Pelodiscus sinensis: one gene and its partners. The protein of the gene in region 4 interacts with the protein of the main gene of each other region in a pairwise test. Links are inferred from orthologs where the notes say so. Each region holds a gene or a part of one and is shown on either strand. Other genes may lie near its edges. The genes, in order: MPP2, PALS2, PALS1 and LIN7A.

What was found.
Region 1: the proteins of LIN7A (region 4) and MPP2 interact in binary tests that used the Homo sapiens proteins (3 or more experiments, as listed by UniProt). The two-hybrid records come from large-scale screens. The link is inferred for Pelodiscus sinensis from reciprocal best matches to the Homo sapiens genes LIN7A and MPP2.
Region 2: the proteins of LIN7A (region 4) and PALS2 interact in binary tests that used the Homo sapiens proteins (3 or more experiments, as listed by UniProt). The link is inferred for Pelodiscus sinensis from reciprocal best matches to the Homo sapiens genes LIN7A and PALS2.
Region 3: the proteins of LIN7A (region 4) and PALS1 interact in binary tests that used the Homo sapiens proteins (3 or more experiments, as listed by UniProt). The two-hybrid records come from large-scale screens. The link is inferred for Pelodiscus sinensis from reciprocal best matches to the Homo sapiens genes LIN7A and PALS1.

What each region holds. Positions count from the first base shown.
Region 1 is NW_027466028.1:232,506-240,047, forward strand, and holds the start of MPP2 (MAGUK p55 subfamily member 2), read right to left. Parts: upstream 3,004-7,542; 5' UTR 2,942-3,003; coding exon 2,826-2,941; intron 2,776-2,825; exon of another isoform or gene 2,755-2,775; intron 1,348-2,754; coding exon 1,256-1,347; intron 1-1,255. UniProt on the Homo sapiens protein: Postsynaptic MAGUK scaffold protein that links CADM1 cell adhesion molecules to core components of the postsynaptic density. In CA1 pyramidal neurons, required for synaptic KCNN2-containing channel function and long-term potentiation expression.
Region 2 is NC_134712.1:198,413,958-198,421,424, forward strand, and holds the start of PALS2 (protein PALS2), read right to left. Parts: upstream 3,005-7,467; 5' UTR 2,803-3,004; intron 1-2,802.
Region 3 is NC_134714.1:72,830,357-72,837,770, forward strand, and holds the start of PALS1 (protein PALS1), read right to left. Parts: upstream 3,016-7,414; 5' UTR 2,863-3,015; intron 2,613-2,862; exon of another isoform or gene 2,494-2,612; intron 594-2,493; exon of another isoform or gene 522-593; intron 1-521. UniProt on the Homo sapiens protein: Plays a role in tight junction biogenesis and in the establishment of cell polarity in epithelial cells.
Region 4 is NC_134711.1:71,565,790-71,573,568, forward strand, and holds the start of LIN7A (protein lin-7 homolog A), read right to left. Parts: upstream 3,004-7,779; 5' UTR 2,289-3,003; coding exon 2,246-2,288; intron 1-2,245. UniProt on the Homo sapiens protein: Plays a role in establishing and maintaining the asymmetric distribution of channels and receptors at the plasma membrane of polarized cells.

The DNA of each region.
Region 1 (7,542 bases), on a different chromosome or scaffold from region 4:
CCTACAGATCCAGCCTCCATCTCTCAGCCAAAACCTGCCAGCTCCTGCCAGCCGCATCCCCCTACCCCTTTAAGGGGAGGCAGCGGGGCTCAGGGCCCCTCACCCCCTACCGCGGACGCGTTCCTGACCCAGCCCTCCAGCCCATCCACGTCACCTCATGGGGGAGCATTCAGCACGGCCGGGCACCCTGCCCACACTCCAAGCCAGGGCGCCCCCGTCTGAATGGCCCAACCCCACCGCTCCCAGTGCGGAAGTCAGGTCGTTAGTTTCCCGCGGCCTCTCACTGCCTCAGCATCCCTGGGGGATTATCCTCCTAGCCCCTTCCACAAGGGGAGCGGAGACAGAGCTGGCCAGGACTCTGAAAGGTTCGCCAGTCGCTGTTAGGCACCGACAGTCCTTTACAAATCTGGCCCTACGTGACTAGCCCAAGGCCACGCAGAGTCTGTAGCAGAGACACAAGGCTCCCGTCTCTCAGGTCAGAGCGCTAACCACTGAGCCCTCCTCGTACTTGGGCTCTTGTCCCCTCCGTTCCCCACCAGCTACTCCTCCGGGGCAAGGAGCAAACGAGCTCTCAGGCGCAAGGCCAGCCCCATCCAACGGGCTTACAAAGCTCCGGGGGTCCTTTCCCATCTCCCCGCTCATTAGCCATGCGCCCGCCAAGCCAGCCAGCCAATCCAAGGGACAAGGCGGTGAAAGACCAAGGGAACTGGTGCTCTGTTACGGGGCAATCTCACAGCTCTGCCTCCTTCTAGCACCGTGGTGTCCAGCACGCCAGCCACTAGCCACATGTGGCTATTTGGCCAGTTGAGTGTGGCTAGTTCGCTATAGCAGTTGCCACTTGCTTCAAAACTGGATGGACACCGCAGTTCTAGGAGGAGGGGTAGCTCAGTAGCCTGCTAAACCCAGGATTGTGAGTTCAATCCTTGCAGAGGCCACTTGGGGCAAAAGTTTGTCAGGGATGGTACTTGGTCCTGCTGTGAAGGCAGGGAACTGGACTCCATGACCCTTCAAGGTCCCTTCCAGCTCTAGGAGACAGGCAATCTCCATTGATTTAGGCCATAGGGACGGGATTGGTCAAACCAGCTGATTCTCACATCCAAGAGCTCCTCTGAGTGCAAACTTGGCAGCCTGGACAGTCTCCAGTGGGCAGCTACCCAAGAGGCATGGGCACAGACTGAGGGTGCCTTGTGCCCCCAAAGCCATGCAGAGGATGGGTGACATTTCCCAATTCCAGCCCGGACGGGGCATTTCTTACCCAAGTCGGAGCTGGTGGCAGCCACAGGCATCTTGGCAGCTGGGGAGTCAGCTGGTGAGGGCTCCTCTGAACCAGCACACACACACAGGGATCTGCAAAGAGAGGAAAGGCTGAAAGTCAGACACTCAGAGGGGCAGGGGAGGGCGCAGAGCTGGCCAGGGGGGACACAGGACACCAAGGAAAAATTTTAGCAAGGGACTCTTCCCCATAAAGTCAGGGAGCCTGTAGCCCAGGGTGCAGGCAGTCTAACTCTGACTGTGCCCCTGCTGGGGGCATGCAGGTCCTGGCCGGATTCCTGGCCCATCAGGGCCCAGGGAGGAACGCCATCCTACCGCCGGAGGAGAGGGAGGGAGAGAGAAAGAGATGGCCCGTAGGGACCAGCTGCCCATGTTCAGAGCCACACTCAGCCCTTCCCCCTGGGGACCTCGGCGCATCATCTCCATGCGCAGGAGGCCGGGAGAGGCTGATGGAACTGGGCTTTGTGCTCAGGAGGGAGGGATGTTTGCAGCGTGAGTCTGGAGCAGGAGCAGCGGGGCGCTCCCACCACCACACCCGCCCCCTCACGCCTACGCCGTCCTCTACAGCGCCCCCTGCTGGGAGCGCCTGGGACTGCAGTGCTTGGGAGCACCCTGCACCCACAGCCAGCTCCCCAGCACCATGCCCCCCCCACCCACACAGCGCCCCCTACTGGGAGAGCCTGGGACTGGAGTGCTTGGGAGCACCTTGCACCCACAGCCAGCTCCCCAGCACCATGCCCCCCCCCCACACACAGCACCCCCTACTGGGAGAGCCTGGGACTGGAGTGCTTGGGAGCACCCTGCACCCACAGCCAGCTCTCCAACACCATACCCCCCCCCACACACACAGCACCCCCTACTGGGAGAGCCTGGGACTACAGTGCTTGGGAGCACCCTGCACCCACAGCCAGCTCCCCAGCACCATGCCCCCCCCCACACACACAGCACCCCCTACTGGGAGAGCCTGGGACTGCAGTGCTTGGGAGCACCTTGCACCCACAGCCAGCTCCCCAGCACCATGCCCCCCCCCACACACACAGCACCCCCTACTGAGAGAGCCTGGGACTGGAGTGCTTGGGAGCACCTTGCACACACAGCCAGCTCCCCGGCACCATGCCCCCCCCCACACACAGCACACACACAGCACCCCCTGCTGGGAGAGCCTAGGACTACAGTGCTTGGGAGCACCCTGCACCCACAGCCAGCTCTCCAGCATCATCCCCCCCCCACAGTGCTCCCTGCTGGGAGAGGACAGGAACTTTATCTGTAGTTGTTTCCCTATAATCCTGCGGGGGGGGGGGGGGGGGGGGAGTGGAATTACTACTGGAATGGCATTAACCCCTGCAGTGCTGGAGGGAGCACATGCCCTGAAAGGCCCACAGCCGTGCCGGCCTCCTGGGACTGGAGAACTCAAGAGGGCACCAAAGAATCCAGTTGGCTCAGGACCCTGGCGCAGGCAGCCCTAGATGAGGCCTCGCCTACCCAGCGCCCCCTCATGGCAGCGAAGAGCTGGGGCCCATCGCCCATGTCCCGCCAGGCGGCCGGACACAGACCCTGTGATGCTCTCGCCTCTCCCCGAACCCGGGCCCCACGCCAGCAGCTGCAGAAGGGACAGTTGGCACCCAGTAGCTGCCGGGCCCCGGAGCCAGGAGCCATCCCAGGCCTGCATCCTCTCAGGCCTCACTGCTCAGAGGAAACTGGGCCTCCGACAAGCTGCCAGTAGGAAGGGGATGCTAATTCCCTGGTTGCCATGGCAACACTGGAGCGGGAGAACAATAAGGAAGCAGTGGGAGCCCCCGCCTCTCCCCCCAGCCCACAGCAGCTGTCAGGGATCTGAGCTGGTGGGGGAGCAGAGGGGAGGCAGATCCGGATGGGAGGCAGCGAGGCGGCCAGTGGGCCCTTCCACCAGCCCAGGACCTATCAGGGATGTACATTTTGATCTAAACAGCTAACCGGTTCGACAACCAGTTAAACGATAACTGGCGGGGTCAGGGCAACTGGGGTGGGGGTCTTATTGGATCCGGGTCTGGGACGGCTGCAGCAGGGGCTGCTCTGACCCCACAGGCTGGAGGCTACTCCAGCCCCACTGCTGCCAGCGTCCTGCCAGCCAGGCCGCTATGGGCAGAGGCTGCTCCCATGGGCCAGGCCCACCAGTTAACCAGTTACCCCCCTAAGGATGCTGGTAAGACACGTGGTTACCGGCTCACGAGTTAACCATTTAACCGGTATCCCGAGCGTCTATAGCGCTATGAGATGCTGCAGGGCATCCCCAGCTCTGCCCCTGCCAAGAGGCCCCTCTTGAGAGGCCCGTAGGTGGCCCAAAATAGCCGGAGCCAAGTGTGAACCGGCCAACCCGCTTCCCTTCCACCCAGGGGCAAAGCAGGCCCACCCAACCCGCCCCTGCTGCTGCGGGGGGTTCTGAAAAGGCTGGTTTGCCCGGCCTTGGCGCCCCTGTGTGCTGGGGGCAGGCCTCCAGGCGCAGCAGGCCCCTGCACTGATGGTCTGTGAACTCCTCAGAGCAGAGACCCAGCATCCATTTCTGACCTGATGCAGCGACAGGCCCCCAGATCAGCTTCCCCCCCCAGCCCCTGGCTTCGAAAGGCCCCAGGGCTGACGTAACCCCTCCCCAAAGCCACATGGGCGCCACGTTCCCAAGGGAAGCAGGCTGCTTGCATGTCCCCAGCCAGCCTCTCTGCTGGGGTCCGGCTGTCAGGCCCTACACCCCTCCAGCCAGCCTGCCCCCACTCTTGGGAATCTAATGGGCTGCACGTGAAATGAACACGCCTGGTCTCAGCTTAGCAGCTGCCGGAGCATCGGTTTCATTCCTTTGGGGCCAAGCAACAATGAGTCACATGGGGTGGGGGGAACTTGCCTTTCCCTGCTCCGTGCGGCAGGAGTTAACCTCACCGGCCCATTCCCAAATCCAGACACCTGAGCTCTGGGCAGGTGCCTTGGGAATGTTCCCTGGAAGCGCATGGGTCTCCCCCAAGGAACTCAGTGGAGTGAATGGGGCAGAAGCCGGTGTCAGGCAGAAGGCCATGCTGAGCTGGTGGCGCTGTGCCCGTGCCAATCTGGACTCGGCACTGGACCAGGCTGGTCCGATCACCCAGCCACCTCTCTGCTGGGCCCAGCAGCCCTAACAGTGCAAACCGGGCTGCCCTCTGTGGGGTGATCCTGACTCCGAGGGCAGCGTGAGCGGAGGACAGGGGATGCTCCCATGGGGAGAGGTGAGATGTAGCTGAAGGGTCCGTTTGAGCCATTCACTGCTAGAGACAGAGCAGCCATCAGGCGGCTGCCCCCCTATCTTGGTTGGAACTTGGGGGAGGGTCCCATGTGGCTCCATCCCTGGCTGTGAGGGGCGCAGCCGGGAGAATCCCGAGGGATTAGCAGGGAATCTCCAGACCCTGTTGGGACCGGGTGTCGCACACTCCAAGCCAGGCCTGGGAAGGAAGGCTAGGACAGCCTGATCAGAGGACGTTCGCCTGCCCCCAGCGAAGGCTGCCGGGGCTGCTTGATTGCAGAACGGTGTCTCACAGCCCCAGCCCAAGACCTGGCACAGACACCACCCGCAAGGAGGCCTGAGTAGCTGCGAAGGTTCCTGGATCTGGTTGAGCCCAGAGGCCGACAGCCCTGGGGTGGGGATGGGCCCATGTAGCCCCATCCTACCGCCCTAGGATGTGCCGCCTGCCCCCAGCTGTGGCTGGGCGGACACCTGCCACGCTCAGTCCCCCGCAGCGAGGATCCTGGTACGAGCCCTGCTGGGCAGATCCTGGAGCTCCGTTGTGAGCCCTGGTGCGCTCAGCCGGCTGCCAGCGTGACATGTGGCAGAGTGCCGGGTGCCCGGCTTCTGAGTTTCGAGGTGAGGCGTGAACCCACCTGCAGCGGATCCTCATTCCCGGGGGAAGCGCTTTGACACAAAGCAGCCCCCTCCTCCGCGCCACAGCAGCGTGCCCCCGCGCCAGCCCCTGCAGGGGACGCGGACGTGGCACCACCGTGTGCAGAGCAGAGGGTGGGGGGGAAGACCCAGCACACACGGCCTCTAGCAACAGCTCATGGAGCAGGAGACAGTAACACGGCCGGGGGAGTTCTAGTTCTAGCAGGTCACCTCCTGTTCCCTGGCTCCACTGGTGAGCCCGCAGGTCAGGAGTCCCTGCCAGGCCCCAGGAAGATGTGCGCCCCAAGGGGTGAACCAAGGAAGGGGAGCCAGGACTCCTGGGCCCCCAGCACCACTCTGCCATTGACACGTGTCCTCCGTTTCTAGCATTGTTTCTCTCCTTGGTCACCAATTCGCACTGGCCAGCCGCTGCCTTCACAAGTCCCCTTTGACCAGGACTGACAGTCTGACTCCACGGTGGTCTCCTCTGCCCACCCCCAGGCATTCCCCCGCCAACTCTGATCCAAGCAGCACCCGGTGGCGACAGAGGGACCCTGTCTCCAAGCTCAGTGCTCTCTGATCCGGCACCAGAGTCTGGGGAGAACCCGCCATTCTCGGGACACTAAGTCCCTGCCACGCCATGCCGAGATCCTGTGCACAGGGTGAATGACAGTCCGGTCTGGCAGCTCTCTGCTACCCGCCTCTCATCGTGTCCCTTTTCTTTCATCCCTTCCCCCTCCCCCCCTACACCCTTCTGCCCCTACCAGAGTGCAGGGGGCAGAGGGTTCTCCCTGGCAGGTGCTCAGCAGTGGTCCCAGGATACCAGAGCCAAGGTGGGCGAGGGAACCTCTCCTCTGGGCCCGCTTGGGTTGGTGGAAAGCGACACAGAACCCTTCTGCCGGGCAGACGTACAGCGAGAGAAACAAAGCGGCCGATTGAGCCGGGCCCAGATGGGCAGCCGGGCTGAATCCCGCCATTCTTCAGCAGCGGCGCTAGGCAGTGAGTGTCTGTGTGTAAACGTGTCATGCTTGGGGAGGGCGACCCGCATGAGCTCATCCCTAAAAACACGGCCCCTCCTCCCATCTGCCCGCGCCCGGGGACTTGCCCTCTCCTGGCACATTCCCAATCCCCAGCGCCCGCGCCTGGCAGCTGCCGCTTCGCTCCACGGGACTGGACCATGATGTGAGACCCACCAAGCCCCCGGCTCCAGCATGGGGGGGCAAACGAGACCTATTAGACCAGCCCCGTCCCATTCAGAAAGCGCCTGGGTTCAGTCTTACGTAACAACGTGTTGCTCTTCGCCATGCCGGAGGCGCAGACCCGGGAGCCCAAAGGAGCATCCTGAACTGGGGAGGGATCAGCTCGGAAGTGAAGCACCAGCCAAGGGCACAGAGGGAAGAGGAGCCATTTAGACCCCTCCCCCCAAAAAACCCAACAAATGACAGCGAGGAGGCCCTCGGGGGCAGGAATTCTGCAGCCCAAAGCCCGAGACAGGGCTCAACTCCTGCCAGGGCTAAGCCCCAGGCCCAAGCCCCAGGCCCTCCGGGCTGGGCAGTTCCCGGCCCCTCCGGGCTGGGCCGCTCCTGGCCCCGGGGCCCTTCGGGCTGGGCCGCTCCCGGCCCCTCCGGGCTGGGCCGCTCCTGGCCCCGGGGCCCTCCGGGCTGGGCAGTTCCCGGCCCCCCAGGCTGGTCCGCTCCCGGCCCCGGGGCCCTTCGGGCTGGGCAGTTCCCGGCCCCCCAGGCTGGTCCGCTCCCGGCCCCGGGGCCCTCCGGGCTGGGCAGTTCCTGGCCCCTCCGGGCTGGGCAGTTCCTGGCCCCGGGGCCCTCCGGGCTGGTCCGCTCCCGGCCCCCCAGGCTCCTCTGGTCTGGGCAGCTCGTGGGCCGGGCCCCTTTTGCTGCAGCGGTTCTGAGTGTAAAACCTGGGCGTGACGCGGCCGCTCCCGGCAGGGAAGGAAGCCCGGGGCAGCGGACCGGGGCGGGGAAGGGGCGCAGCCCGGGCGGCCGGAGGGAGGCGGCAGGTTCCAAACTGAGCAGTCCAAGGGGCTCCCCGCAGCTGGGGGGGGTCGATCCAGCTGCGGGGCTGCGCAGACGGAGGCGCAAGCGGCGCGTTACTGCTGCGGGCGGCCGGCCGGCGGGGGGAGGGGCTCTTACCTGCCCGCGCTTGGCGCAAGCCCCCTGCGCTCTCGGTGCGCGGCGGGTCGCGCTGTTCCGGCTGCGCTCGCTGGCCAAGCCCCGCGCTGCCTCCGGGGCTCTTAAAGCAGCAACGCCCCTGGGGAGGGGCTGGCTGGGCCCCACCCGCGGCGCAGGCAGCCCCCTGGGCCTCCGCTTACACCCGGGTTTGCGCGGGGGCGGCCCGGGCTGTGCCACCAGCGTGGGAATGACCGGCCCTGCCCCCTC
Region 2 (7,467 bases), on a different chromosome or scaffold from region 4:
TATTGTGGCAGACAACACACTAGTGCCACTCACAACCATTTGTTTGCATTTCTCTCATTCAATCTATAGGACACAAGCCTTTTGATGTTGTACGTGTGTATAGAAGGAAAAAAATCCATGCTCCATGTACACTCCAACTGCTGTTGCAATAATTAAAAATGTTAAGGCTACATAGTTAACATTGTCACTCAAATATCAAAGAAACTTGCTTCTCTGCTTGTAGGATTAGATAAATACATATATTATTTTAAATGAACAAGCCTATGTAGAGAGGCAATGGGATGGAGCAAAATGAACTGGTCATACTGGTTCTATACGAATAACCATGTAAATCCACAGATCTGCTTTATATCCGCAGCTCATTTTTGCAGAATGGATGTCCATACAAAATTTGTATCCATGCAGGGCTCAAGCTATACCCAGCTCTAACACTTTGTTGTGTAACCTTGGTTAAGACATGTCTCTGCATCCCTGTGTATCCTCATGCGCCTCATCTATCTTGTCTATTTATGTTGCCAGACCTTTGGGCCAGGAACAATCTTACTCTGAGTTTGTTCAGTGCCTCGCACTATGAGGATGTAATCTCAGTTGAATATTGATTGTCCCATGCCACCAACAGAACAAAAGCTTCAGGTGATTAGTCCATCATTTAAGATTAATTGCTTCTGCTGTTTGCAAAAAAAATAATAATTTAAAAAAGTAATTTTCATCTAAAGAAGATCTACTGCACATATGCTGCAACAGCTTTTCAATCATTTCAGAGTTTTTTGGTACGCACAGTCCACAAGTATAGCAACAGAACAAATACAGTTCTGAAGAAGCTGCTATGGTCTAACAATAACCTTTGTTATATTGTTCTTAAGAAACTGAAACTGCAGTGATCTGTAGGATCTGCAACCTATGAAAGCACACTGAATTCAAAGGAGTTAAAAGATCAATACAGTCAATAAGCTATTGGGAGAAGGAATAATATTTGATTTTCAAATAGAGTGGAGCCAGTCCCTGTTAAAATAGAGCCATGGAAATCCAAAGCCAAGACTAACGTTCTAGTCTTATTCATGACATTGTGCCTTGACACTGCAGACATCTCTAAGCAATGCATGATCTCAGGAAATCTATGCTTATGTGGTGCAATACCCAGCCTCAAGCATGAAATGAAGACTGAGGATGGCTCTCTGCCTTCAACATTTGTGTTTGTCAGTCTGATCTTTTCTCAAGAGCATTTTAAGATTTTCAAAGTATATGAAAGAGTAGTCAAACCAGGTACCAAAAAATATCAAGTTCCTCTATGGCATTCCTAAACAGAGCTTGGTGACAGTGTTAAAAGGCAACCACTACAGTGGAACTAAAAGGAAACATTATTACACCACTGACAACCAAGCAGTTTGACACTGTGTTCATAACTAACACACACAAAATTTGTTCAAAGCCTACTCCAGACATCTATTTATAGCCAGTCAGTCCCTCTCGAATTCCACCCCCCCAGGAAAGTCAAGGGAAGTTTAACAGATGTAATCCTGGGCCCTAAACTGCACAACTGAGGGGAAACTGGAATTCTCACCCAAAGATTACCATGTACAGCAGCAACTGGGCATAGAGATGTGTAGTCAGACTCAAGTGGAAGCCACACAAAGGATTACCCTTATCCCTACATTATTAAGCAAACTTGTTTCAATGGTGTTAATGCAGCATCAGTCCATACACATACACTGGGGACAGTGCAAGATGTTTAGCCCCTTCACCAGTCATCAACTGCCTTAAATAAGTATTCTGCTCAGATGTGACCCTGCACAAGAGCAATGTCATTGATGTTGCTTCTTGTTCATGTTACTGTTTGATAGGTATTTTTATGAACTGAAGACTACGTATTTTCTCTAGAGACGCGAACCAACAATAAAGGACTGAATAGGAGACTCCATAACCCAATAAGAAGGTGTGTGCGCATACATGGAGCATAATGCCAGACAGCTGGCTTCTCTCACACCAGCAGCACCAAGCGCATTAAGGTTTTGGTGAAGCTAGATCTTCCTCCTGGCGCACATGCTGCAGCCCTACCTTTACCATGTATCCCCCTACTCTCCCCCCCCCGCCGCCCAGATTTCCCTCAGCCTGTAGTAAGAATACAAAACGTAGTGGCATGACAGCCCTGTGGCTATTACAACCCACCCTCCTGCAACATCAAACCACCTTCTCCCCCCCCCCCCTCCATCTCAATGCGGATTGCAGCAGGGAGGGGAGATAATTCCTCGAGGAAGGAAGAAGCCGAGCAGGGGCAGCTCGGGAATAATCCCGCAGGGTGGGATGATAATCCCTGGGAGGAGCCGCGCGGGGATGAGATGGGGGCGAAAGGAGGCAGCAATGGGGGGCGGGAGGGGACTAACCCCGCTCGGGGAGAACGGAGCGGGAAGGGATAGTCTTCAGGAGACGAGAGGCTGCAGATAACCCAGAGCGGCCAGGAAATCGCTGGGGTCACGGTAGCGGCGAGCGGTCAGTCCGCACCGAGGGGGCAAACCCCGGCTCCAGCGCCACCATGTTCCCCCGCAGGTATGTGGCTCAGGGCGGGCCTGCGTGCGGGCGGCTCACACACGGGGCGGCTCGACCCCCGCCCCCAGGAGGCAAAGGAGCCTCCTCGCAGCGCCGAGGCCAGCTGGCCCCCACTCGTCACAGCCTCCCGAGCAGCGGGCCGCAGGGTCTCCGCAGAGAAGCCAGAACAGCAACAGTTCCTCCCTGCCCCCCGCGCCTGGGAGAAGCCCAGTCCAGCGTCCCGCACCAACCCCGCCGCGTGACGGGGGGGGCACTCACCGGCTGGCCCCGGCGCCCTCGCTCCGGCTCCTCCTCAGCGAGCGCAGCGCAGCCCCATCGACACACGCGACTGCCCGGGGTCCTCGGAAAGCCGAGGCAGCGCCTGCCGCCTCTCGTGCTCCCCCGTTCCTCCCTCGCGGCGCGCGCGGCCGCAGCCACTATGGCGCGCGAGCGCTACCCGGAGCAGCGGTTGCGCTTCTGCCGAGCGCCCAACGAGCTGCTCTAGCCAGAGAGCGCGAGCGCGCCCCCTCCCGCCAGGCAGGCCCCGCCCCTTTAACTCTTCGGAGCCCGCGTGCCTGGGCCGCCCGCCCCCTCTGCGTGCTCCGCTTGGCGAGCCGGCTCGCTTCGCACTGCGGTGCCGGCAGCTGGTTAAGCGAGCGTCCTGTGCGCAGGCCTGGCCCCTTTAAGGGGAGAGGGTGGATGCTGCCCAGTGGCCGCTGGCGTCTGGCCCGGCTGGGGGCGGCTTGGCTCGGGGGGTGGCGGCAGAGCCACGCCCCTCATTAGGTCGTACAAAAACCTGCTGTGAAGCCCGCTCGGCGTGGCTCATTCGTCCTCGGTTCTGCCTGCCTCCCTGGGCGGGTGGGGACGTCCTGTAAAGCCGTTGGGATCAATGAGGGTTACACCAGGGACTGGTTCGGCCCCATGAGTGGGCTCAGATGTGGTTAGTCGCCTAGTCCCTTGACTTAGGGTTTAACAGACGCTCTTCAAAGGTTCAAACAAACGGGAGCCCGGTGGCACCTTAAAACCTAATGGCTACGTCTAGACTGGCATGATTTTCTGCAAATGCTTTTAACGGAAAACTTTTCCATTAAAAGCATTTGCAGAAAAGAGTATCTAAATTGGCACAGATGCTTTTCCGCAAAAGCACTTTTTGTGGAAAAGTGTCTGTGCCAATCTAGACGTGCTTTTGCGCAAGAAAGTCCTGATTGCCATTTTTGCGATCGGGGCTTTTTTGCGCAAAACAAATCTGAGCTGTCTACACTGGCCCTTTTGCACATAAGGACTTTTGCCCGAACAGGAGCATCATAGTATTTCCGCAAGAAGCACTGATTTCTTACATGAGATTGTCAGTGTTCTTGCGGAAATTCAAGCGGCCAGTATAGACAGCTAGCAAGTTTTTCCGCAAAAGCAGCTGCTTTTGCGGAAAAACTTGCCAGTCTAGACACAGCCACCAGATTTATTTGGGCATCAGTCTTCCTTGGCAAAGACCCACGTTGTCAGATACATTGGAGTGGAAATGACGGGGCTAGGCCTAAATATACTAGCAGATGAAAAGAAAGGTGGGGGCTAGTACTACCTAGGGATGTAAGGCTGTGTCTACATTGGCATGATTTGCTGTCTGTCTACATTGGCCACTTGAATTTCCGCAAGAACACTGATGATTTCATGTAAGAAATCAGTACTTCTTGCGGAAATACTATGCTGCTTCCGTTCGGGCAAAACTTTTCAGTTAAAAGCATTGCGGAAGATCATGCCAGTCTAGACATAGCCTAAGAGTGTAACCATTTAAATGAGTAACCAATAAGCTGATGCTTTTCAGTTACCCAAATGGCTATACTTGGCTCCCAGTCCAGCTCATTAGATTATAGTATATTTTATTGATGTAACTTTGTCACCAGAGGTTTCAACTTGGATGGGAAATACTTTGGTGGAAGTCCTGGCTCTTCTGAAGTCAGAGTTCACCATTAACTTCACAGGTGCTAATTGGGCCAATTAGTCAAGGTGGGTGTGGTGGCCCACTCCCAACAGTTGATGAGAAAGTGTATAAACCCAGAGAAAATTGCTCTTTTCTGGTTGTTGTCTCCCACTGGCTTGTTTGAGCAGCTCTTTGTCTAGTATGTTTGGTTTTCTGGCTCCCCTTCTAAGGTCTGGATCTTTGCCCATTGTTGCATAGGGCAGTATTTCTCAACCAGTGTTAGGAGTACCTTAGGTACTTGAGAGAAGTCTGGGGCATAGGTCAACACAACTGAAATTTGGAATTGAATTTTTATTTTAAGTTTTACAGTGCTTTATTATTTTTGTACTTTTACAACCAAAAATATAATTGCCTGTCTGGCTACAATTAAGTTGTTTAAACAAATGTGTTGCAATGGTAGAAAAAAAATGTCTGAAAACTGTAGGTAGTGGGGGTACTTAATTTTTTTTTTTAAAAAGGGGGTACTTTGTGTGTGTGTGTGTGTGTGTGTGTGTGTGTGTGTGTGTGTGTGTGTGTGTTTAAAAAAAAAAAGGTTGAGAAACACTGGCCTAGGAGAGTGTAGGTGCCAAATGCAGACTTTGTGAAAAACTGTATTCCTCCAATTTTTCTAATGCTTAAAAGTTAGGCACTGTGGTGTGCAGCACTGCAGTGCCTCAGGTCCTTTGTGGATTCCAGTCACTAGGTTTAGCTACCCAGTGAGAGGCACTGGCAAAGCGACATTTGAAAATCTAATTTTCCCCTCAGCATTTCCCCTCAGCATTTAGTCATTGTTTACTTTTTTGCATTTTAGTTGGTTTGAACAGTGACATAGACTAATGGCACATTTGTTTATAGTCAGTACCACAGAAATGTTCACATTTAGGCTCTCATGGTCTAACCCATTGCTGCCCCACTGCAAACACTGAACCTATTTATATCATTAGGTTACATATGCCAGCAAAACTCCAATTGCAGCCAGTGGGAGTGTTAGGTGTATAAAAGGGAAGAATTAGTCCCAATGCAAGAAAATATTTAAATCTAAAATAAAAAATCCCAAACTAGTTTTATTCAATTTTTTAAATCTGATACTCTGTAAAACCATTTTTAAAATTGAACATACATTTTGGACTTAATCTGATTATGCCACTTTAAGAAAACCAGATAGAGTGATGAACACATGATCACTTTGAATAATGGTTCAATGGGGGACACACATGCTGGCTCTTGCAGTGGAAGCAATAAGTGGAAGGAGGAATATGAGCTTGCACAGTCAGAGCAATATGGGGTAGAGTTCATTTGGAAAAAAATTGGCTAGATATTGATTTTCATTTAACAGATTGGCATTGTGCTTTATCAGTAGATAACAAACAATCTGGCTTTTATACAGCCAGAAGAGTCAAAGGAAGCAATCCAAACAGTGAGCCCAGCAAAAGCAACTGAAGTAGAAGCCAGCACCTTAAAAATCTTTTTCAAATTAACAAGTAAATGATTTTGCCATTGTAAATGTGGTATTAGTTTAGGAGGCCAGGCTGTAAAATTCTTTCTATAATTATTTACTATTTGAATTACAGTTGCAACCAATGCCTCCAATTAGAGGTGAATCATTGTCCTGGGAGCTGTACAAACACATGGAATGATGTGATCCGTGCCACAAAGACCTTACAGTCCTCTCACCACTTCTCAGCAAAAAAGATTGGGAGCATAAACAGGGCTTAAAGAAACTTTTGCCCCTCACCCTTCCATCTTGCATAAGTAATATTGGGCTAGATTGGAAATTACAGCTGTAAAAAGTTGTGGACTCAGTCCTCTGTGCTAAGGACTGACTGACCTCATCCCTGCCTCTTCTGAGGGTATGGAGCCATCTTCCCAACTCCACCTTGCCATGGGGTCCATAGTATCTGGTGGCCCTGCTGGGTGTGGAGGCAGACTGGAGGGTGAAGCTGGCCAGGAAGGAAGGGAGGTGGTTGGGGTCTTCAGTGTGTGGCTGGGAGTATGGGATCCGGGCATGAAAGTGGCTTCCAGATGCTCCCGTTAACTGCAATTGGCCATTGGGAGCAGCAAGGAAAGCCTCCAGGCTGAGGATAATAAATCATCTCTTTATTGTGTCCAGTGCTCAGATGCTCAGTACCCTTTAAACAAAATGAAAGAGAATAAGGTTGCTAGTGCTGTGGTAACTTTCTGTTGGTGTTTCTATAATAATATAATTTACCTAATACCCTGGGAATTTGGGCAAAAGAAAAGGCATATGCACTTATAGGAGGAATGCACCTCTTGCTTCTATCTTTGGGCCAAATTCTGTTCTGGTCCATGTAATTCCATCACAGTCAATACTTATTATAACTACCAATTTAGCGGAGAGATCTTGTTTTAAAACAGCTTGCCCTCCAATAAAATGTTCCCTATGTATAATCCAGTCGTGAGGTTGAATTGTTAAAGTTAGGGACTAAGCATCAGAATACTCTTTGGATATGTTCCCAATCTGTTCACTGACTCACTGTGCAACCAGTGTAAATACTGTAATTTTTGTGCTTCTGTTTACATTTCTGTAGTATGGATATAATTAGCAAATGTACCCGGCATTGTTTGGGTCTTTAACTGAAGGGAAATTTTTTTTTTTTTTGAAAAATAAATGAAAAATATACATGCTTTATTTCAAAGTTTATATTTTTCAGAAATGAAGGTTAGAGTGAGAGTTTGAGGGTTAGGGGGGTAGGGGGTGGATGGCTTAGGACAGAGGGTTGGGAAGTGGAGGGCTCGGGGAAGGGTGCAAAAGTCAAGGCAGGTGGGAGGTGCAGGACTCGGCAAGGAGCTCAGGACAGGGGACTGAGAAGGAGGGGCTTACTAGGGCCGCTTGGCGGCAAGGGTGGCACTTCTGCAGCAGCAACTTCTCCTAGGGGGCAGGGGCAGTGCTCCCTGCCAGCGGTCCCCCCTCCCCCTCTGCAGTTCCCTTCTCCTGCAGGCTGTCTGGGGAAAACCAGGCTCTGGGGGCT
Region 3 (7,414 bases), on a different chromosome or scaffold from region 4:
AGCCCACTGCTTCTTGTTCTATCCTCAGAGGCCAAGATTTCTCCCTCCTCCTTATGACACCCTTTTAGATATCTGAAAACTGCTATCATGTCCCCCCTCAATCTTCTCTTTTCTAAACTAAACAAACTGATTGTTTCATATAAGCCGAGGAAAATTTTTAAGTATGCCTAAGTGAAAGTTACTAGCATTTATATTCCCATTGCCTAATATTCTTGACAATGAAACAATCTCCGAAATTATTTTGGCTGAGCTACTGTGCCATATTTATTAAGCTTGACCTCAAAAGTTTAAATAATGGGAAACACCTTTCTTTATAGAGAAAAAACAGCTTTCATCTCTAAGTTTGACAGCAGTTCATGGATTTAACACATTTTTATTTAAATGTTTTAAGAAATAATTTAAGCCTTGGTGTATTTTGCATTGAATTAATATTCCATTTGAAAACAAAGTAAAAAAATATAAAAATCCATTTTTTAAATTATTTAATCAAAATATTTTTAAAACCATTTATATTTACCCACCATGATTTCAGGTGTGCCACATGATGCCCCTTAAAGAGGTCCGATTTTAAGAAAGCGTGGTACATCCACCCTCTGAAAAAAAGCAGACCTTTAAAGTGTCTGAAGTTGCATACACTACAATTGAGGCACTGAAAAATTACTAGTCACTTTTGAAAACCTTGGTTGATGTTCCCAAAGCAGGAGTAACCAAGATGAAATAGCACCATCGCCAGAAACACATTAAATACTAGAACTGTACAAAAATGAATTATGAAGGATTGCAGTTTTGCATTTTCATTCCTAATGGAAGGAGACTGCCATGTCCAAGTCACTATGTAATGCTTTTCAAGAAGCCAGCCAACAAGAACAGTGTCTCAGGAAGATATTTCACTTGTATTCAAAGATTTTTCAATTGTATCAGCTATGTATGAGACACACCTGCTTATCAGAGTTCAGGACAAATTCACAAAGGAGCTCCAATGTGTAACAAAGGCAAAAAAATTGCCCTAGCTACACTGCTCAGGGCTATGAAAAACTTGAGCCCTGTTCAATGTAAGAAGTAGACATAATCACCAGTGTAGACACCACTAGGTTAACAAAAGAATTTTTTTGTTAACCTATCTACAATCGACAGACCATGGTTCAACAACAGGAAAGCTGCAGCACCATAGCTGTGCCATTGTGGAATAGGCATACCCTAAAATCAAAATCAGTAAGAACAGGCAGTTGCAATGCATTCAGATTCAAGATCTTTGACTACCACTCTGACTCTTATCATTCCAGAATTGCTTTACTAGGCTCCAAACAAAAGATTGCCTAGAACATTACATAATGCAATAAAAAGGGACACATGCTTTTACTTCAGAGGTCAAATAAAAAAAATATATAAAAAAATGTTGAGAGCATTTAACAAAGTATTTCCTCAAAGATTTTGGTTATCTTTGGTGACCCTTCAACAAACTGATTTTTAAATTTATCATAAAAATGCACTTGATTTAAAAACTATATAGTATTCATTGTGCATTTAATAGAACTTAAGGATTTACTTGCAATTTTAGTTTAGTTCTAAGCCTCTGCAACAACTTGAAAAATTCACATAAGCATGAACAAAACATTGTCAGTGGGTTCTGGTTTAACAATTAGAAAATATATTTAGAGATACAATAAAATTGCTCATTAACTAGTGCTTTTAAACAATAGTAGTCTCCCTGCTTCAAAGGCACCATTAGGTATGAAATCCAACATTTGCTTCCATCACAGAATTCAAAACTATTGTAACTCACATTTTGAAACTTACATTTTGATGGCTCATTTTAAAATTAAATTGGATATTACAATTTCTCTCACATCCCTGTCATTTGTTTTTATAACCAGATTTTCCTACCTTTAAAAAAATATTACTCTTGTTGACTGGAAACCCACACAAACAGGAAGCAAAAATGAACAGTTTCATCCTTCACTCCCATCTCTTTCAGCTATGTAGCTTTAGTAATTTTGTAAACAAACAAACAAAAAAACCATCTGTATATTCAAAACAGTGAGGATACCTTGTAAGTGACTGATTTGGGTAGAGTTTCTACTTGCTGTCAGCTTTCTAATAAAATCAGCAAGCTGTATTTTGCCACTCTTTCTAAAGTAATATCTCTGGGACAGGAACTGTCTTCCTTGTTGCTTAGGTGTACACTTCCTACTCTGATCCGTCGATTAGCGAGATCCGAAACGTTACCGTAACAGTCTCATCAGTGTAATTCACTGATATTTAGTCAATAGTTTGATCAATGCCTACTGGGCAACCTTGAATGTGTTGGTTGCCAAGCCACTTTAATTTAATCCTGCAAAGCCCCATAAATCTCTACCGAGCAATCTCTTCACAGTAAGATTTCCAAACGCTGGCTTGCCCAACAGATGATGAAGTACGTACAGACCATTATTAAAATAAATACATTCAGAAAGTAAAAGACAACACTCAACACGGGGAGCCTTATTAACGCACCTTTAAAGGCTGAAACTTGCAATGGTTGCACCGGCGAGCAAGCCTTATGTTGGCAAACGCTGCACGATCGGGCCCCTAGTGCGTACAGGGAAGGTGGCGGATACGCAAACGGCAAGGCCCCCCCAGATACACGCACCCCCCCCCCCCCCCGACTGCACAGACACGGGTCACTCCGCAGCTCCGCTGGGACCCTACCAAAGTTCACGAGGAAGGGGGGGAGCAAAATCCGCCCCGCGCCCGCCTCCCGTCCTGGGAAATCCCGAGGCGCAGCAGCAGCAGCGGGGGCTGGGACCAGAGCTCCCCCCGGAACCCAACGCCCCTACCACCCCCCCCAGGGGGAGTCGATCACAAAGTGGGGGGCGGACTCACCTGCCTACTCCTGCTGCCGCCGCTCCGCACGGACGCGCCCAGCAGCGCCTTGTTCTACACCCCTCGCGCCCAGCCCGGAGACACCGGAGACAGCCCCGTCTCGCTCACCCCGCGGAGCTGCGCAGCCGCCCCAGCCACATACCAGGAGACAAACACCTCACGGCAGCGCCCGATCCACCCCCCCAGCCGTGGCCCCACCCCAACGGCCGGCCGCACGCACGCGCCCCGCCCGCCTTCTGCAGACGCACGTCTCTATTGGCTGGAGGGGCTGAGCGCTTGGGGTGCGCGCGCCCGCTTGCTGCCCAGGCGGCTGAGGGACTGGTGCTCGCTGCGGAGGGGCTCGGGGGCGGGGAGGGGTGCGTAGCTCTTCGGCCTACAGCTCCTTCAGCAACGGGCCGCCGGTTGAATTGTCCTTTGCTTTGTCCCTCGCGCCTGCTGCAGGGTTTCGTGCCCCTGCGTCATGCCTCTGCTGCCGCCTGCGTCGTGTTCAGTGGAGCTGGTGAGAAGGGCAGAGTAGCCACAAGCTACGACTCACGGATGATTGTGAGAGACTCCTGCGCAAGGCTGTCTGTGGGACCGGAGCCGCTGGTTAGCTAACACCCACAGTTATACCCCAGCGTGGTCGCCAACCAGCCCAGCCCAAGCCCTGACGGGACAAAGACCAATAAATAAATAAATAAATAAATAAAAGTTCCGACACCAGTTAGTCGAGCACTTTGGCAGCCAGAAGGAAGGGGATACTCTCAAGAGGAGATGACCATTAGTCAGAGAAAGGAGGCACCAGATTATAGGCCAGTGAGGACGTACCAGTTTTGCAGACAGGCACTACCGTTAGAATCCAGCTAATAGAGAAACCCCAGAAGGAAGGGACTAGTGAAGTTGGAAGAGATGCAATGGCACCCAGGTTATGCAAGAGGGACAAGTGCAGGAGACAGTCATGAGCCAGTAGAGGCAACACTCAGATCCCTGTGGATCAGAGAGAACCATCCAGTGGCCAACCTCATAGAGAGGAAGAAGAATGGACTGAGAGACAGTTTGCTACAGCCAGAAACAAGTGACAAAGAGATAGAGATGGGTCACTTATGCTATGGTAACCTATTGAGACTAGATTATCTAAGAGACTACTTAACAAGTGAAGACAAGACTGCAGTTTGGCTATGTGCAGCAATCCCAGGCCAAAAGGACACTGGGTGAGTGCTTGGGCTTCAATTATTTGTTTTAATATTTATATTAAAATATTTGAAAAAAAAGGGAAGATATATCACGATCAATGTATTTTCAGTCAGAAGACCATGTTCCCTGCAGGGACTGTTCTTTGTAGATATCATAAAAGGGATCCAGGCAGCAACTGAGCCACATAGTCAAATCAGTCCACAGGGTTAAATCCATGGCTACGTCTAGACTGGCATAATTTTCCGCAAACGCTTTTAACGGAAAAGTTTTCCGTTAAAAGCATTTGTGGAAAAGAGCATCTAGATTGGCACGGACACTTTTCCGCAAAAAGTGCTTTTTTTGCGGAAAAGCATCCGTGCCAATCTAGACGCACTTTTGCGCAAAAAAGCCCTGATCGCCATTTTTGCGATCGGGGCTTTTTTGCGGAAAACAAAGCTGAGCTGTCAGTGCTTTTGCGGAAATTCAAGCGGCCAGTGTAGACAGCTGGCAAGTTTTTCCGGAAAAGCAGCTGATTTTCCGGAAAAACTGGCCAGTCTAGACACAGCCCATGTGTTCAGTTTAACATGTATTAAGAACAGCCATACAGGGTCAGACTAAAGATCCATCTAGCCCAGTGTTCTGTCTTCCAACAGTGGCCAATATCAGGTACAAATTGGGACTGAACAGAACAGGGACTCTTCAAGTGATCGATCTCCTGTTACCCATTTCCAGCCTCTGACCAACAGTGTTAGACATCATTCCTACCCATCCTGGCTAATAAGTATTAATAGACGTATCCTCCATGAATTTATCTAATTCTTATTTGAACTGTGCTAAAGTCCTTCTCAACATCCTCTGGCAAGGATTTCCACAGGTTGTATGCTGCATCAAGAAATACTTCCTTTGTTTGTTTAAACTTGTTACCTATTAATTTCATTCGGTGACCCCTAGTTCTTATGTTATTGGAGCAAGTAAATAACTTTTCCTTATTCAATTTCTAAACTTAACAAAAACTACTAGCTTTCAAGTAAAAGCAAAACCAACACATTCTTCTCCTATCCCCCATCCCAGTTTTATGTAAGAAAGTGTAAGCTAGCTCTACACTACAATCTCTGATGAGCTGTGATTTGTGATGGGCATGCCTGTGCTGGCAAGAGTACTTAGTATAGACACAGTTATACTGGCAAAACTAAACAGCTTGGCTGTGTCTAGACTGGCCACTTTTCCGGAAAAACTTGCCAGCTGTCTACACTGGCCACTTGAACTTCCGCAAAAGCACTGACGATCTCATGTAAGATTGTCAGTGTTTTTGCGGAAATACTATGCTGCTCCCGTTCGCGCAAAAGTCTTTTTCTGAAAAACTTTTGCGCAAAAGGGCCAGTGTAGACAGCAGAGATTTGTTTTCTGCAAAAAAGTCCCGATCGCGAAAATGGCGATCGGGGCTTTTTTGCGCAAAAGTGCATCTAGATTGCAGAAAAGCATCCGTGGCCAAAAAGTGCTTTTGCGGAAAAGCATCCTGCCAATCTAAACGCGCTTTTCCGAAAAGGCTTTTAACTGAAAACTTTTCCGTTAAAAGCATTTGCGGAAAATCATGCCAGTCTAGACGTAGCCCTTTACTCTTTGCTAATTTAACACTCCTCATTTTTCCTCTATTAACTAATGTATTGGACTGTTTCCCTTTTCCACTCTCAATAAAGAGATGAGTGTCTAAATAAGATTTGGGACAGAAGGGGCACATTATCTTATAATCTTCATATCTTGAGAGTTAGGATAGTGATTAGATAGGAGGTACCAAGGTAGAGGGTGGCTCAGGACACAGTAATGTCAGCAAATGTTTCTTGGACCACCAAAAAAAAAAAAAATCAGCAGACACCTGCCCCTTTAAATCTTTTCTCCTTTGCTGCATGTTCACTGAATGCTTTGTGTAATTTTTCATATAGATGTCCAGCCACTTTTTAGTCTCTTGCCTATACTTACACATTCTGTCCATATTTTCCATGTATGTTTTTTTTCTGAAACCTATATACTCCAGTGTGTCTTCAGATTCAAACCTCTTTTTCGTTTCTTGGCATATAAACTGGCCAGCTAATCCTCCATTAATATGGACCCTGCCAAACAGCGTGTGCACCTTTCCACAGAAGGATTAATAAGCTCTAGTTTCTAGCCTTTTTACATTGTAGATTTTGAGTGCCTTTAAGGCTATGCTCTACCAGTTTGTGTTCCATTTTTTGTTCTGCCATATGTTATAGCTGCACACCAAACCAAGCATTTTCACTTTGATTAGTAGCAGGAGTGCGAGTATCAAATGAAGGGGAAAGGGAAGGCATTTGGAGAATAATGGAATCCAAATTCAGGCTGACTGCAGAACTACTCTGCATTCTTTACAGACAGGGGGAGTAGCAGACTGAGGGTGACCAGTTATGGCAGAGTAGGAAAAGAGGTGGACGTTTCTGCTGGCCTTTTATGATCTAGATCCACATTTTTACAAGCACTACTGGCAGCTATTGTAAGAATCCACAAATTACTTTCTTAAACCCAGATGCTTGCATGAAAGTTGCACAATGGCTAACTGTCTACGTTTAGCAATAAAACACTGCTTACTGGATGCAGAGACTCCATCCTCCCTTAAATCAGAGTCATCCAGCTTGATCACTGTCTTTTGTATCCAAGATTTACACAGGGAGGTCCTATGAGCCCACAAATATGCAGAAGTTCAGCCTTCTGTCTGTGTAGTTCTTCTAGATGGCAGGCATCTTCTTCTTGATGCTGTCCAAGAGCAGGTTCAGTGAGTGTATAGTACACAGCTTTTCACTAAGCAGTCAAATGTGTACACCAGCCTCCAACTTTGTTTTTGTCTTTTCTCTTCCTATAATTATATCTAAGGCTACGTCTACACTGGCCCCTTTTCCGGAAGGGGCATGTAAATTTCATGAGTGGTAGTAGGGAAATGCGCGGGGGATTTAAATATCCCCCGCGGCATTTAAATAAAAATGTCCGTCGCTTTTTTCCGGCTTTTAAAAAAGCCGGAAAAGAGTGTCTACACTGGCCCCGATCCTCCGGAAAAAGTGCCCTTTTCCAGAGGCTCTTATTCCTACGTTGAAGTAGGAATAAGATCCTCCGGAAAAGGGCACTTTTTCCAGAGGATCGGGGCCAGTGTAGACGCTCTTTTCCGGCTTTTTTAAAAGCCGGAAAAAAGCGACGGACATTTTTATTTAAATGCCGCGGGGGATATTTAAATCCCCCGCGCATTTCCCTACTACGACTCATGAAATTTACATGCCCCTTCCGGAAAAGGGGCCAGTGTAGACGTAGCCTTATAAGTGTTTTGATTCTCTGCCTGTATGGATTAGCAGACCATGTTAATTCTGAGATATGTAAGTCTCCAGATATCTAGTGGAAG
Region 4 (7,779 bases):
GCAACTGTGTCCACATAGAAAAAGTGGTCTTCACTGGGACATGAATATTTCATATATATTTCTTTGCCTTGTTGCATGAAATCACCTTGTGAGATGAATTCTGCATCTCAATGACATTAACTGTGAGTCCTGTTAGGAGTCACTAGAATTGATGAATGACCTCACTTAATTTTCATTTTCTTCAGCCACAGGAAGACATTTTGGCCCTTAACTTTCACCTCTACAAAAGTGGTAGGCACAAGTCCCCAGCCCATATCAAGTGGAATCTTAATAATGATTAATGCAGAGAACGAAAATTAATGAAGAGAATGAGATTTTAAAAACCCAATAGTTTTAACAATATACAGGAATTCAATGGGATCATAATATTGAAATACTAATAATTCTCTTTGAACAGCCATGCATGCTAGTGGATCACCATCTGTTCAATCCTTTACCAAGAAATAGACTTGTCCTGCTTAATGCAAACAATATTGGGATGAAACTGTACATTACACAGTAGATTTCTAAGAACTTTGTAGAAACATGTATTCTCCTTAATTTACTGCATGACAGTAATTTATTTCAGGAATAACTTCATTTTGTTCTGTCTTTTGTCTGAGTATCTTTTTCAAAAATCCACCTAACTCACAGTAAAGTTGTGATCGGCACCACAAAAACTGCTATGCTCTCAAATTGCTTCCAGCAAAATAATGTTAGTGTCCTCTAAATTAAAATCTCATACTGAGTTTATCAGGTTTCTTTTTCATTGAATGTACAGCAGGAAGCTCCCCATCTTAATCTTCTAAATAGAGTATTTTTAAAACCAAGGCACTGGCCTAAATCATTCTCTACAAAGTTAAGGATTTACAAATTGCTTGGGGGCTCAGACACACAAGATACGGATTAGAAAGAAAAATGTTCTAACACTTAGGGAGTTCTGTCCAGACAGCATGTTTGATCTCTCTTAAACTAGAACCCAGAAAGAAGAAAAAGCCATGCAAATAATTATAACTAAGCAAGTTATTTTCCCCTCTCTAATAACCAAATACCCCTAGGGTTACAAATGGACTTTCAATGGCATCAGTTTGGAAATCATTTCCTATTGTTGCCTGATCAGATTGGGTAGGAGGTCTAATTTTACTGCCTTGTGGCAGAAGTTTAATTTTAGCATAGCTTCAAGCTTTCTGTACCCCCTCTTAATCTCTTTTGTAATGGTCTATACAAAAAGAAGGATAAAAAGGTGCTGCTGTCACAGTCTGGTGGGTGGAAAAGACTGATCAGTGTTGTCATCAATACCAGGAGCAACTAGCTGTCTGCAGGAATAGGTTCACAAGCTACTCTATCTGAAAGCAGTATTAATAGTAGCAAATATGGCAAATTTCAGTTCGCTCACATTTCCCTCACTCCCTCCCCCCCCCCCCCCCCCCGCGGCAAAAAAAATCAGATTTTTTTCACCCAGCTGAGTGTTTCTTCTGCTAGTGCAGGAGCCCTTTTCTTCGTGGTTCAGCTATGAAAAAGTGAAGCCACCACAAAGCTATTTATTAGAAACGTCTCTATATGCCAGCAACTCCACCGCTATACTTGAGAACCTAGTAGAGGGACATTCTCGGAAGCCACGCACGCTAGAGATGCTAGGACAGCAAAATGCTGTACTGGAGAGCAAGTTAGCAGAGACAAGGTAGCGAAGAACCGATGCTTAAGAGCAAAGCGAGATCCTAGAGCTACACAGAGTAACAGCCGAGAGATCTCGGTGTTACACTACACTAACCAGCAGCACCACCCTGGAGTTGCAATGTACTAAGCCCCTTCCTCCTGGTACTGGACCGATCCGTGCTTCTGCTGCCTCCTCAGGGTGCCAGCCCGACCCCAGCCCCCCAAGCCCTTCTCCCACTGGAAGAAAGTTTGGTCTCTTTGCTTCCCTCCCTGCCCTTCCACCTTACAGCCACCTGCAGTCTGAACTGCCAGGGGAGGCAGCGCCCCCCATTCCCGCTGCCCTGTTCTCCCGCAGCCGGCACCAAAGCAACTCCAGCGGCGGCTTCCACACCGAGCACCCGGGCCAGCGGCTCCCGAAGCTTTGGCGGCTCCCCGCGGGCTAGGGTGTGCGACAGGCAGGGGCTGCCCGGCGGCAGCCAGGAGCGGGCTGTGCCGGCCGGGGACGGGTCTCCAGGAGACACCAGCCTCTTCCCGGCAGCCTAGCGGCGGTCTCGCTCCGGGCGCCGGGCAGCCCTGCCCGAGCCGCTCCCCGCGGCGGCAGCTCGCTTACCTCTGTCCAATGTGAGCGGCTGCACCGCTGCGAGCGTCGCCATGTCTGCGGCTGCAGCCGGAGTGAGGCTCTGCTCCGGCGGCGTGCGGGGGAAGGAGGAGGAGGAGACAGGGAGGGCGCTGAGGCGGTGGGTGGCGCTGGGGCGGGGAGGGGGCTAGTGCGTGGCCAGGGATGCTGGAGGCTGCCCGGAGGCGCGGGGCGCTAGCCACATGTAGCTAGGCGGGGCGAGCTCCGCCCCGGCCCGAGGTGCGTGTGCAGCCGCTGGCTGGCTCCCCCCAGCGCCTTGCTGAGGGCGTCCAGATGTGCGCGGCAGCTTGGGCCGTGCTCCCTGCCCGCGGCTCTCCCCACCCTCCCGCCGGGGCAGGGGCGAGCCCATCGGGCCTCCCGCAGCCCTGGCCTTAGGGAACTCTGATTGCACAGCCCCGGGGGAAAACCCCGACTAGCTGGAGCTGTAGCAATGGCGCGGGAGTGGGAGCCAGGCTCAAGCCCCCGGGGAGGGAAGACACGCCGGATGGCGGCTGGCAGAGCTGGGGAGTGGGGGAGGAGGCAGACTTCAGATGCTACCCGAAATGTAGCCTCCCCTTCTGCCGTCCTGTGGCGCCAGCGGCGGGGTGGGCTCAGAGAGAGGGCAGGGCAAGGAGTGGCTGGGAGGAGAACTCTGCAGCTGGTTGCCCTGAGCGTGGGGGGAAGGGGAAAGGATGCTGCTGATAGACAGTGTAATGGGGTATGAATTGGAGGGCACCGTAGCCCTTGTGCCCCAGAGAAGGAGGGAGATTTCTCCAGCAGCAGGAAACAGCCCCTTCTAATTGGGTGTTCTTTAACTTGTGTGGCTCCAGCACTATCCTTATCTGTAAAATGGGGAACTAAGGCAAAAAGACTAAGTAGCATGCCGAAGCTTGCATGGAGGCGGTACACAATGACAGGAAGGAAGCCAGATTTCCTGAGTCCCAGTCCAGTGCTCTAGATACAAGCCTAGCCCTTACCCTGACTGTGCAGTCATGCAGTGGTTGATTTTCTCATTTTTACTTACTCCATGGAAGTTTGCCAGGTTAGATGTCAGTCCTGGACAATATAGTTTTGTAATCTTGGAAGGAAAATGGCTCAGCCATTCTTGGAAATGAAAAAAAAATCCAATACAAAATAAGTTCTGCAACTGGTTTTGTTTTAAATCAGCTTTCATGCCTCAGTGGCTTGAGGTAGAAGATGGCATTTGGCAGAGAAAGTGTCCCAAAGTCATAGATGTGGTTTTGGTCATCTGATGCTGACTGTGATTTGTGAAAGCTGGAAAGATTTGTAAACAGGCTCATGGATATTTTTATTGTGCTCTCTTAATAACTTCCTAGGCCAGAGGTTCTCAGACTTCATTGCACCACAATCCCTTTCTGACAATAAAAACTACTTCATGACTCCAAGACTCAGGGGTGGATGAAAGTTTTGTGGGGCCTAGGGCGCGGGACCTATTGAAGCGTGGGGTCTGGGGCAGCCACCCCGCTCACCCTGCCCTATATCTGCTGCTGCCAAGGCTATGTCTACACTGGTGGGTTCTTGCACAAGAATGGCCATTTTTCTGCAGAGCATCCACACTACCTGCCCGCTCTTGCACAAGAAGATTTACAGTAAAGCGTGGTAAGAGAGGGCTTCTTGCGCAAGAGCTACGCTCTTTTCTAACAGGTATAATCCCTGTGGGCACAGGGCAAGGGTTTCTTGTGCAAGAAAGCCCTATGGCTAAAATGGCCATCACAGCTTTCTTGTGCAAGAGAGTGTTCACACTGCCATAGACACTTGTGCAAAAGCACATGGAAGTGTGGACATGTTCTTGTGCAAGAGTTCTTGCACAAGAACCCTTGCGCAAGATGTTGTTGCGCAAGAACCCATCAGTATAGACATAGCCCAAGGTTATGTCTACACTGGCGGTTTCTTGCGCAAGAACATCTTGCGCAAGGGTTCTTGTGCCAGAAGTCTTGCGCAAGAACACGTCCACGCTGCCCTGTGCGAGCTGTGCTTTTGTGCAAGAGTGCCCATGGCCGTGTGGACTCTCTCTTCCGGAAGAAAGCTCTGATGGCTATTTTAGCCACAGGGTTTCTTGCACAAGAAATCCCTGCCGAGCATCCACACTGCCCTCTTGCGCAAGAGCTCCTGCGCAAGAGGGCTTATACCTGATAAAAAAGAGAGTCGTGCTTGCGCAAGACACCCTCTCTTACCATGCTGTACTGTAAATTTCCTTGCGCAAGAGCAGGTGGGCTGTGTGGATGCTCTGCAGATTCTTGCGCAAGCACAGCTGTTCTTGCGCAAGAAGCCACGAGTGTAGACATAGCCCAAGAGTGGGAGCCAATGCCTAAGCCTACCCAAATCCCCATCATCTGGGCCAGTGGGCCAAAGCCCAAGCCAGGGCTGGGTGCAAAACTGAAACAAAGGGCTTCAGCCCCAGGCTTGTGCTTTGGCTTTAGCCCCCAGCAGGTATAATGTCAGACCTGGCAACTCAATCAAAATAGGGTTGTCAGTCCACCCACTTTGGGGTCCAGACCCACAGTTTAAAAACTTGAACTACGTAAACCAAAGGGAGTCCAGCTATCTTCCTTCTGAGGAATAAAAGTGTATAGATAGAGAGCTAATGAACCGCTGCAGCCTGCCATCTGAAAGATGCAGTGGTAAAAAAAGGTTTGCATGAAATGAGACAAGGCCTGCTTCCTCACTGATTGCTCTGCTGTGCATTATGCGCATTTTGCTGTTGTTCAGTACATATTCATAGGGCCAGTCGGGGGGAAGAGGGAGAGGCAGGAAGGCCATTTGGTCTGGGCCTCAAGTTCAAAGGGGACCTCAAATTTAGACACTTGTAAAAAATTGTTAGCATTTGATAAGTATCAGATCAAAATGTGACAGTCTCTCAGCTTAAAGTTGCAAATTTAAGCAAATAAGAGATGTGAAAAGGCCAGAAAAGCATTTGCTAAATAAAAAAATCAAATTATGTTTCACTCTTTTTGGTGCCTTATTTTTTTCATGTGCGTCATAGCGCTTTCTTGCACAATTTGTCTAGGGACCTCAAAAGCTGGAAGTGGCCTGGGACTCTCCAAATCTCTGAGAGAGCCTGTATACTTAAACATGGTGGGATTTTTGTTTCTATATTTTCTCTTTAAAATATACAAGATAAACTGTACTAAAGAAATTGCATTACAAAAATGTTACAGACGCAAAGTGAAATTTTGGGAGTTCAAACAAAGAATTCAATTAAAATTTAAGTAATAAAGGAACATTTGAATATTTTTCCACACTTGAATATTTTACCACAAATTTTGTATGTTTTATAATCAGGTGAGTGTAAGAGAATACACTTAACTTAGAAAGATGAGTTAAAAAATAAAAACTCCTCGTGTGTAATAAATATAGTAGTCAAATCAGTTTGGCTGTGTTGACAAGAAAATGTTTTAATTGGCTAAAATGCTGAAATTTGAAAATCAGTTACTGCCAGGCAGTCAATTATCTTAACCTAAATTAACATAAAGATTTTTATTATGTAGATTTTATGTATTTGCATAGCAGCTGGATTGACATAAAATGAAACAGCTCCTTTTAAGCAGTCACATTAGTATATATGGGATTCATTGCCTTAAACTGAGAAGAATGTACACATTTGGAGCTATAACAGACTAATGTGACAACTCTCAAACTGTTATGACACTTTTAAAAAGCCTATTATGGGAAGTATGTTTAAATAATATTAAAATCACACTGCCAAGCTAATTAAGCAATCAAGTTGTTTTTTCCCTGTACGTTTTCAGAATTCTTCAGACTCTTTTTAAACTGACAAATTAAAAGCAGACATTTTAAAACAAAATACATATATAAAATTGTGTGGCCTGTTAATAAATGACTAATAGACATGTCACATGGATAAGTTACTAAGATCCAGCTCTAAAAAAAGAAAAAAAAAAGTAGTACTCAAGTTTAAGAGCAATCACATTCGGAAAGAGGTGCTTTCTACAGGCTAAATCGTAGGGCAACTTTGTGCCTCTTTTGAGTGCCCTTTTGTGACTACTATTAGATTAACAGGTCAGATGTTCCACGCCATGCAGGGTTAAACCTGATCAATACTTGAATGGAGACTTCCACAGATCTTGGCTTTTCCTTGGAACTTGTTGCTGAGGCACTATATGACATCTTCAGATTTTGATCCAGGGTTCTATTTCTCATCAAACTTCACTTTGGGTTGTTATAGTCTGCCTATCTAAATTCTTCCTGTAGTTTCAGTTGGCTATTGTACTCTTCATTTCATGTCACATTCTGTAATATTTACCATGTGTTCCATCCCAGGAATTTCAACCATGGAGAAATTGATTGCTTCACAATATAACACCAGTTTTAATCTCCTCATCTCCTTTTTATAAAGCAAAGAAAATGTTGTGTGTGCTTCCAGTCCTCTCAAAAACAACTTGATAATTCTAGAGACAGAATTCCACTTCCTCAGGAAATTTTGCAGCAAGGTCAGCTGTAGCATTGGTGTGTCTTCATTGGAGCCTGGTCATTCTAGCTTTCTGCATGGAACTCTTCGCTTCAGTGGAAACTCTATACGCATAGGGGTTTGCAAGATGATGTGTGGAGTTTGTAAAATGGATCCTTTGGGATTTAAAGCACATTATCGGCCTTTGCTTTAAATACTCTTGCTGACATTGGCTTAGGTCACAACACACCATAGTATTTCAATGAAAATATAGGATGCTAGGACTATTATGCAGGGCCTGCTAGTGCCTTTTTTCTTTATAACTCAGTCATAAACATTTGTTTTGGAATGAATTCTGGCATACAGTGAGAGTGGGAGAAAGGACCCTCTTTCTCTTTATTTAATCAGACCAGTTCCACATTGTTTCTGTAAAGTATTTGAAATTTGGTTTATGGTGCAGTTTGCTTATTGGGCAGAGAATTGCATCTTTCTTCCAGAGGGACTTTTGGGGGATTCTAAAATAAAAAAGATGCAAATTGGTGCTTTTGGTAATAATTATACATGTTACTAGCACGCGTGGAACATTCTGCACTGGGACGGTCATCCACTGTTAAATATTATTCCAATTAGATTGGGATCTTGAGACATAGTCCTCAACTGCTTCTAGTGCTGCATTAGTTATATCCTGGAGTCACTTTTAAGTTCCATTCGAACATATGACATAGTTTCAAAAAACTGCTTTTTAAAAAACTCCAGACAAGCTCAAATTTAACAAATGGTGTTTTAAAATGCTAAACTCCAATTGTCTACAGTGAAAATAGGACTGAGCTTTTGTGCTCTGGGAGCATCACTGTTGACTTCAATTAATGTGTGGGGGCAAATCATTAACGCATAATTTATAGTCAACGTTGGATAGGTTTTATAGCAGCTGACACTGATGCTTTTGAAAGTATTTAAGTTAAATTAGTTATTTTATGACTTTTGAGCTCAGTGAATACACTTTGCGCACACATGCTATACTGCCTACTTTTTAAATATTCAAACTATGATTGATGCGAGCTTTAAACCTACGTCTCCCAAGCATCAGCATAATGAGCAA